2 linked regions of the Arabidopsis thaliana genome follow. The protein of the gene in region 1 interacts with the protein of each later gene in a pairwise test. Each region holds a gene or a part of one and is shown on either strand. Other genes may lie near its edges.

Evidence for each region. Proteins that work in one complex are often made in the same cells at the same time.
Region 2: the proteins of AGL39 (region 1) and PHE1 interact in a two-hybrid assay, tested with the Arabidopsis thaliana proteins (one large-scale study listed by BioGRID).

The regions. Positions count from the first base shown.
Region 1 is NC_003076.8:9,543,687-9,548,518, reverse strand, and holds AGL39 (AGAMOUS-like 39), read right to left. Parts: upstream 1,973-4,832; 5' UTR 1,887-1,972; coding exon 966-1,886; downstream 1-965.
Region 2 is NC_003070.9:24,264,981-24,269,747, reverse strand, and holds PHE1 (MADS-box transcription factor family protein), read left to right. Parts: upstream 1-2,411; 5' UTR 2,412-2,427; coding exon 2,428-3,267; 3' UTR 3,268-3,491; downstream 3,492-4,767. Other genes in the region: CYP96A3 (cytochrome P450, family 96, subfamily A, polypeptide 3), read left to right, coding at 102-1,613. UniProt on the Arabidopsis thaliana protein: Probable transcription factor involved in the development of gametophytes and seeds.

The sequences.
Region 1 (4,832 bases):
TAATCAACTCAACATCTCAAAGTCAGAACTATACTTAGTCAAAAACTAATACTTGGAAGCCACGTTCCACTGACAACGGAGAAAGATTCAATAAATACCTAAGAGGATTTAAGCAAAGCTGCTGCGTTAGAGAAAGAAAAAAAGAGGAGCAACGAATTTGCTATAAGGGTTCGAGATTCTTAATCGACGATCTATATATATAAGAAAATAAATATATGATTTTCTATTAAAAAGTTACGGAAAAAAAACATGTGAAAATATAATTTTCACAAAAAACTAAAAAAAAACCTTTAAAAAAAAAACTATTCTTATTTTCTTAAAATGGTATATTTCTAAAAAGAATTATACAATTAATTTTTAAAGATGTCAAAATAACCGACCTTACTTCTAAGGGAAAAGATTATCAAAAACAAAGTTTATTTATTCTCTATCAAAAACAGAGTTTGATCTGCTAATTTTAATATACAAATTGTAAAATATATGATTACCTTAAAGAAACTATAAAATTAATTACTAATTCGAAAAATGATTATAGTTACTTTTTTAATAAAATGTTGGTATAAATATGTTCATCTAATCTACGTTACATACATAATCTTAAATTAATCTCAAGTACTCTGTTCAAAGTTCAAACACATCACCTAACAAGATGACCATTAAGGAATCAAAAAGTGTTCAGCTAAAGGCTAAAACTCATGTAAAATTACAAGCAAAAGCTCCAAAAACTGTGTTCTTCTTTTCTGAGAATCCAAATTCAAATCACTAACTTGAATTTAACATCAACAAACTAGTAAGTGGAATTGCAAAACTGATTCAAACAATTTACTTTCAACTTCGAAAGGGTTCACATCAGAGTATCAAACAATAAAGGAAAAAAGGTTTACAAAAACTTAAATTGGATCAAGAATCTCTGTTTACAATGAGACAAAATCAGAACAAGTTCTGAAGATTACAACCACATCATATCAGACATGACGTCTAAAGTCGGAATCTCCGAAGTTGATCATTGCATTGGTGTTATCGAGACCGAAGTAGCTGTTTAGACCAAACACATCATCGTTGGATAGATCATTCCAAAAGCAGATCTCATCATCCAAATTGACATTGGCCTCTGTTTGTGTTTCTTGTAGTAGTAGATTGATTTGGTTAATCTCTTCCTCTGTTTCAAATCCTTGGATCTCGGAGCTAGGGTTTTGATCAAAAGAAGCAACTTGTGAAGATGATTCTCCACAGATCTGATAGAGAGAGGAGTAACAGTCCTGATCAAAAGACGGAGACGAGAGGTTAGGGTTTTGATCGCCATGGAAAGAAGAAAAGGTTTGATCGCTGCAATACTCGTTGACAGAGTTTGGAGTAAAAGTAGAAGCAATTTGCGAATAAGAAGATCCATCACAATCCTCGACGTCGAGAGAACAAGTACTATTAGGGTTTTGGTCGAAACTAGAAACAAGTTGAGATTTTTCTTCCTTCTCAAGGCAAGCCATCACATGCTTCTTCATTCTCTGTAAACGATCCTCGATAATGCTTAACTCAGAGAGATCATCACACGAATGGTAGAGATCAGGGTCTTCCCACCAAAATCCTAGTTTGGATCCGGCCGGGTTAACAATCTTGGGTGGAGGCTTGCGATTTAGGTAACAATCAGCGATTTCGTAGGCAGAGGAGTAACCGGAGAAGGAATAGACAACATCGGAACTATCGGAGGGAGAGGTTACGAAGACGGCGATGTTAGCACCGGAGATAAGACAGAGATCGGCGGCTTTGGAAAAAACAGTTTGACGGCGTTTAGAGCAAGTCACGGCTCGTTGCTCTTTGGTTTCTCGTTTCTTTATTTCGATTTTGCGCTTTGTTCCTTTCTTCATCATCGTGGAATCAGATGAAGGCATAATGTTTCTTACGGAGAGACAAATAGACACAGAGAAAAAGTGAAAAGAGAGAGTAGAAGCAAGATAGATATATTACCCATATTTATAGATGTAATAGCCGCCTGAGTTATATATGTCAAACTTAATTAGGTCTTGTTGTTTTCCTTTTACTGCCCAACTTTATTTCTATGCATTTAACGTTTTTTTTCTTTCCTACTAAAACGTTTTAGAGATTTCTTTTATTACAACAATAGCAGAAAAAAATTATTACTACTATAAACAATTAAACATATATATTGGATATTCAAAATTATCTAAATATTAGATTTTAACCCGCGTTATACCGTAGAAATAATTTATTTTTTTAAATCAGTATATATAAAAGTTTGCAAATTATATCTATCTATAAAATAAAAATATTTTATAGTTTACAATTGTTATTAAGTAACGTTCTTTCAAACCCGTTCCGCCAAACTCGTCCCGTAAAAAAACCCAGTGGTACACCGTTAATTTAAATATATAATTAAAATAAATATTTTACGGGATTGCAATTGTATTTTAGTTTGTCAAACAAATTTTTTTAAAAATATTTGTCGAAATCTAATTCAAATTTTGGAGAAATTAGATTTAGTGAATTGATAAGAAATGTATTTAGGTGCATTTTGCTCATTTTAAGGGATTGCAATTGTATTTTGGTTTGTCAAACATTTTTTGTTTTAAATAGTTACCGAAATTTAGTTCAATTTTGGAGAAATCTGCGTGATATATGGGATTAGAATATATTTGGAATTTTTTTTGCTTGTTAATTAATTTATTGCAAAAAAAACAATAATTAAAAGCTAGTGGCAGCCATTATAAATAAGTTCCAACTCTAAGATTTATTTCACAAAATGGCGGCAAAAATGTATATGTAGATTTAGTTACCTATAATCAATGTTCAAAAAATCGTTGTACGGTAGCTAGACGTTCGATAGATGTCTAGGCTATTTTTTTGAACATTACCTATAATAAGTACATAAAACACTATATATTAAACTTTTTCGCGGCAACTAAATCTAATAATACTAAATCAACAGTCACTTTTAAAAAAACTGTAAGCTTCTCATTTTGACACGTATGCTTTAAGTCTAAAATTTTGCACTTCCACAATCGTAAACCAATTCACTTCCTTTTACTATTCAATAGAATATTCTTTTTTGACAAAAGATAAATTTAAATTTTTTTAACCACTTTTTCAGCAACTACTTCTTCCACGTTATTAAGATTCTTTACTTTCTCTCCCATCTTTCAAACCCTCTGCCAGTTAATTTACGATCTCAAGAGCAACCGTATAAGCCATTCTCAAGAAGATAAAAACAGGTTTAAATTCTTCTTCTTCTTTCCTTTCTCATAATCTTAGATCCTCCATTCTTTCATCTAAATACGTCTACCAGAGAAACGAAAGAATGACGTAAATAATGAAAGTTGAGACTTTTGTGATACCTAATGTGATGGACGCTGTTAACCCCTCACGACTCACTGAGTTTGGTCCACCCAATCGCTGGTATGAATATCAATAAACCTTTGGCCGTTTTGTTGCGTTTTACTTGGTCTTATCTTCTTACATTTTCCATGCACACCCGCTGCTACAAAATGACCACATGAGTTTGCGAGAATCATATAGAAACAAAATGGATGCAAATGTTTTGGGGCTTTCAATTCAGAAAAAGAAGAAGAAGAAGAAGAAGATAACCAAATTGAGAGATGGGTGGCATGACATGACATCTTCTTCCACGGTGTAGTGTGCAAAATAATTTAAATGTGAAACCATCTTATATGTTCAAGTTTAGAAAAGCGTTTTGGTTAGAAGGTAATTCATTTCTCCATCATTATTATTGTTAAGTTTTTTGAGAAGAAAAAACGGCTCTGTATATATATATATATTTTTTTCTATATATCTATGAGATAAGTTAGTGTATTTATGTAAGATTATTTGCTGTTTCCAATAAAAGTTTTCTTAATTTTAACACATATATTATTTTACAATTTGAGTAAAGTTGAATAGGACTTTTATTGAGAGTTATAGAGCAATGTGTGATACACATTGTATTTTGTGAGGTTGTGATATTCGTCATTTGTGTAATTGTTGCAAATTTCAAAGACACGAAATATATTATTGGTATTGTTGTTTTGCGTGCAAGGCACGGGCTGCCTACTAGTTTACTTACAAATAAAAAGACTTTATAAATTAAAATCCAGTTCGATAGGTGTCTAGGCAGATTTTTTGAACATTACCTACAATGATTACATAAAACACTATAGATTAAACTTTTTCCACGGCAACTAAATTTAATTAAAAATAAAAAAAACTTTATGAATTAAAATCCAGTTAAATATTTTAAAACATATATGTTCAGTAGTAAATTTTGATATTGACGGAACCATTATCACGAAATATTCAGAAAGAATTTTGATTCATATTCATCACAAAATTTATAGCACAATAAAAATATATACACACACAAAGTAGGTAGACTCTAGATTTTATTTATCTTTTGAAATTTCTAAGGTCTGGTATGATTTGCCTTATGCTCAACCCAATCCATTTCCAATTGACTATTAAGGTACTTTTTAGACTCACAAATATTCATTTTGTACAAGGTTTTTTAAAATGTCAATGATACACTTGATGAAAAATGTCGACTCTTCGGACTGATCTTTACAAATTTATGAACTAATCAACTATGAGTAATTACGTTATACTAAGATTAGAAGGATTTAACGGTAAGGTCTTGACTCGTTTGGCAAAATGCAAGTTTCTGGGATAAGGACTAAACCAAACATATTATAACCTTACAAAACGAAGAGTAGTTCTTTTTTTTAAGTTTCAAACAAAACAAAAACCTTACTTAACACCTAACGCCACAAAAGATTTTCTTTGTTTCTGATAACAAAGTAAACTAGACCACGCAAAAATATTAAAGGTCT
Region 2 (4,767 bases), on another chromosome or scaffold:
TATATGATATCGTAAGGGAGTTCATATACTCACTAACAAGACAAAACATTTCTTGACCAAAAGAAAAAAAAGATTTCTTGAATAAACATTTTGTTACTATAATGGCGATAGTCATAGGTTTACTTGAAATCTTCACAGCATTTGTTTTCTTCATTTTCTTCCAATGTTTATTACTCCACAAGAAAACTCCCAAGCCTTTGCTCACGAACTGGCCGGCCCTTGGGATGCTTCCGGGTCTACTCCTCCAAGTGCCTCGTATCTACGACTGGATCACCGAGGTTCTTGAGGCGACAGATATGACGTTTTGTTTCAAAGGTCCATGTCTTAGCGGAATGGACATCTTGCTTACTGTTGATCCGGTGAATATCCACTACATTCTAAGCTCAAATTTTGCTAACTACCCCAAAGGAATGGAGTTCAAGAAGATCTTCGAAGTCGTGGGTGATTCAATTTTCAACGTTGACTCGGGTTTGTGGGAGGATATGAGGAACTCGTCTCATGCCATTTTTAGTAATCAAGATTTCCAAATGTTCTGGGTGAGTACAAGTGTAAGAAAATTAAGGCAAGGGCTTGTTCCTATTCTTGAAAACGCAGCTGATAAAAATATCCTTGTCGACTTGCAAGATTTGTTCCAGAGATTCTTGTTTGATACATCTTTGATTTTGATGACCGGGTATGATCCAAAATGTTTATCCGTTGAAATGCCTAAGGTTGAGTTCGGTGACGCGGTCGATGGTGTTTCTGACGGGGTTTTCTATAGACATGTTAAGCCGGTTTTCTTGTGGAGGCTCCAATATTTGATTGGTGTAGGAGTAGAGAAAAGATTGAAAAGAGGTCTAGCGGTATTCGATCAACTACTCGAGAAGATCATAACGGCTAAACGAGAGGAGATCAATAGTCATGGGACTCATCATCCCTCAAGAGGAGAGGCCATAGACGTGTTGACATACTACATGACTATGGACACGACCAAATATAAGTACTTGGAACCAAGTGATGATAGATTCATCAAAGACACTATTTTGGGTTTCTTGATAGCGGCAAGAGATACAACAAGTTCAGCACTCACTTGGTTCTTCTGGCTTATGTCCAAGAACCCTGAGGCAATAAACAAGATCCGACAAGAGGTTAACAAGAAGATGCCGAGGTTTGATCCCGCAGATTTAGAAAAGCTCGTGTATCTACACGGTGCCGTGTGTGAGACGCTAAGGTTATACCCACCAGTTCCATTTAACCACAAGTCACCGGCAAAGCCAGACGTACTTCCAAGTGGGCATAGAGTAGATGAGAAATGGAAGATTGTCATATCTATGTATGCATTAGGGAGGATGAAATCTGTTTGGGGAGATGACGCAGAAGATTTCAGACCAGAGAGATGGATTTCAGACAGTGGAAGGTTAAAACATGAACCTTCATATAAGTTCTTGGCGTTTAACGCCGGTCCAAGAGCTTGCTTGGGGAAAAAGTTAACGTTCTTACAGATGAAGACAGTGGCTGCGGAAATCATACGAAACTATGACATCAAGGTCGTTGAAGGGCACAAAACCGAACCAGTTCCTTCTGTTCTTTTTCGTATGCAACATGGTCTCAAAGTTAATATCACTAGGATCTAGTGATAGTTTTTGTATTTTTTTTGCTGTTAAAGATTTCAATAAAACATGCATGTTTACTCATGCTTAGACTTATTTTGCAAACACGTCTTTAATTTGTATCAGTCATTTGCCTTATAAGAGTCTCTATTTCATAATAACATCACGGTTTTACAATAGCATGTGCTCACATTTTGTGGTCTTTAGAATCTGATGTTTAGTTACTAATATTTTTTTTGGCAGCTATGGTTTGTATTATTGGACCCTTCCCCACAGTTATAACACCCAAAATCGATAACACACATAATAGCATGTGTCTTAACGAAACAAAAAAAATAAAATAACATTACTTTCACTGTTTAGCCATAACATTACTTTCTATCCAACTGATATTACATGTATTTTAAATTATTTATTAATTATGTTTATATAAACTATTAACATATAGAAAAAATTTAGAGATTGAAGAAATATCTTAAATTACCTTTGATGTAATTTGTTTTCCTTTCAATGGACTTCCTAAATAAAGTATAAATCTCATTAGATATGTGATACAACTGTTTTCCTATATATCTTGTTTTTATATATGCCCCCCAAAAGGTAAAATATCTATATGGGCTGTCTCTAAAGATAAATGATTATCACTTTACCATCAATCACATGCCTACACGTAAGGGTGAAACTAATACAAATCCTGAAAAATTAGTAAAATAAAAAATCAATTAATCATATCCAGCAAAGCAATAAAAAATCTATTGACTCGAAAATTGACTATATAAACCATCCTCCTCATGCTAACAAGACAAAGCAAAATACACAAAAGAAAAAGATAAGAGATATGAGGGGGAAGATGAAGTTATCGTTCATAGAAAATGATTCAGTGAGGAAAACAACATTCACCAAAAGGAAGAAAGGGATGCTGAAGAAATTCAACGAGCTAGTAACTCTATGTGGTGTTGACGCATGTGCGGTCATCCGTAGCCCGTACAACTCGATCCAGGAGCCTTGGCCATCAAGGGAAGGCGTTGAAGAAGTGATGTCGAAGTTTATGGAGTTTTCGGTGTTGGACCGGACCAAGAAGATGGTGGATCAAGAGACGTTTTTACGTCAAAGGATCGCCAAAGAAACAGAACGTCTCCAGAAGCTACGTGATGAGAACCGTAATTCTCAGATTCGAGATTTAATGTTTGGTTGTCTCAAAGGAGAGGTGGACGTGTCTCATCTTCATGGAAGAGATCTTCTTGATTTGAATGTATTTCTTAACAAGTATCTCAATGGTGTTATTCGTAGGGTTGAGATCCTTAAGGAGAACGGTGAGTCTTCTTCATCTGTACCTCCTCCTATTGGTGTAGCTCCTACTGTTGTGGATGCATCTGTCCCAATCGGTTTTGATGGTCGTATGATTCAAGATCAAAACCAAAATCAGCAAGAGCCGGTTCAATTCCAATACCAGGCTCTTTATGATTTTTATGATCAGATTCCAAAGAAACTTCATGATTTTAACATGAAAATGAATATAGATCCAAATCAGAGTATGAATTTGGATCTTAATGATGGAGAGGACGAGGGCATTCCTTGCATGGACAACAACAACTACCACCCCGAAATCGATTGTCTCGCTACCGTCACCACTGCCCCCACTGATGTTTGTGCTCCTAACATCATCAATGATCTCTAGTCGAAGGGATGTATTTCGAGTGAAGTGGTTGATCATCTGCATCTTTTGATTTTTCCATTTCAGAAAATAAAATTTATGTGATGTTTTTTTTTATTATTGTACTACAGTTAAAGGTTTTGCCTTTAAGTTCATTTCCGTTGATGTATTTGCCTGAAAAGGTTTAGTTCAATTTGAATAATTTTAATCATTACAAAATAAAGAGTTTTCAGTATCTTTAGAAGAAACAAATCTTTAGATATGATGTCATTAAAAACCCTATAATATCTAAAATAGCTTTGATTAAGTCAACTTTCTTTGTTTTGCCTATATATATGCTATGGCTATGTCATGTTTTCGTCTTACTTATATTTGAACTAAAATGATTATGAATGTTATTGCCATATTTTTGTTGGATTCAAATGTTGATCACAAAAAAGAAAGGATTTCAATTTTGTGTACCATGCTATTTCAAGATGTTTCTAGCAAATTCTCAACTACGTAGTTTAGGTGACCACTTGTGAGACCTTTGCATACTTTGGCACACATAATTTTCTAATGCATACCTCATCTATGAGTCGAGAAGACGTCCCATGGGAATAAAAAAATCGAAGACAAAAGTACATATATAGTGCTGACCATTGTGGATCTCCTGATGTACATACTCAGCCGTAATTGGTTTTAACTTCAGTAGCTTCTGCCACGTTTTGGAACCTAGAGTAGAATCCTTACCATCCTAACAGATAATATATTGTCGGAACCGCCCATAATAAACCCCCACGAAGTTAGTAGTTTCCAAATTAAGCTTAAGCTAAACAACCGTGACACATGAATACGTTGGAAATGAAGCCCTCATTCCTTTTTAGGAATACACGCTTCTTTCAACATATTGGCACGCTTGTGGAAAAAAACATAGAATAGTAGAAAACCTAGCAAGATACGGCCATAAAAGAAATTAAGGAATCTTAAAAATCTCTTCTTTCACATTGTTTCCACACTTCCCCTGCTTTGTTGTTTCAGAATTGAGACACGTTGTACAAGATTTTTGGATCAAAAGACTCGCAAATATAGTTAAGTTTATTTATGACACCTAAATTCTAGTCCAACAAGAATTTGCGTGATCGCAAATTTTGATAAATTTGTGTGCTTGTATTATCTATTTTATCCAACGGAAAAAGATTCTTGATAAATAATATCTATCGTTTTCGAAAAACTTTGTTTTTCATCACTGAGTTTTTAACATCGAATGCATTAATTTCATGGAATGCTTTTTTATCCCAACATGATAGAATTGTAATTTATTACTTTGTCAAAGTTTTGGAACGTTAGACTTTGCCATTCATCCCAAGCAAGTGGGAGGGTGATATCTCGTTGGTGATCAAAAGGATCTTTTAAGGATTTCCAAAGTTCTTTAAGATCTCGCATGTGTGCATAGTCATATAATACACTTTTATCGAATTGTCTTTTAAGGAAGATTCGATTTTACTTTTTCTTGGGCCATCGAAGTATCATACTCTTTTAAGG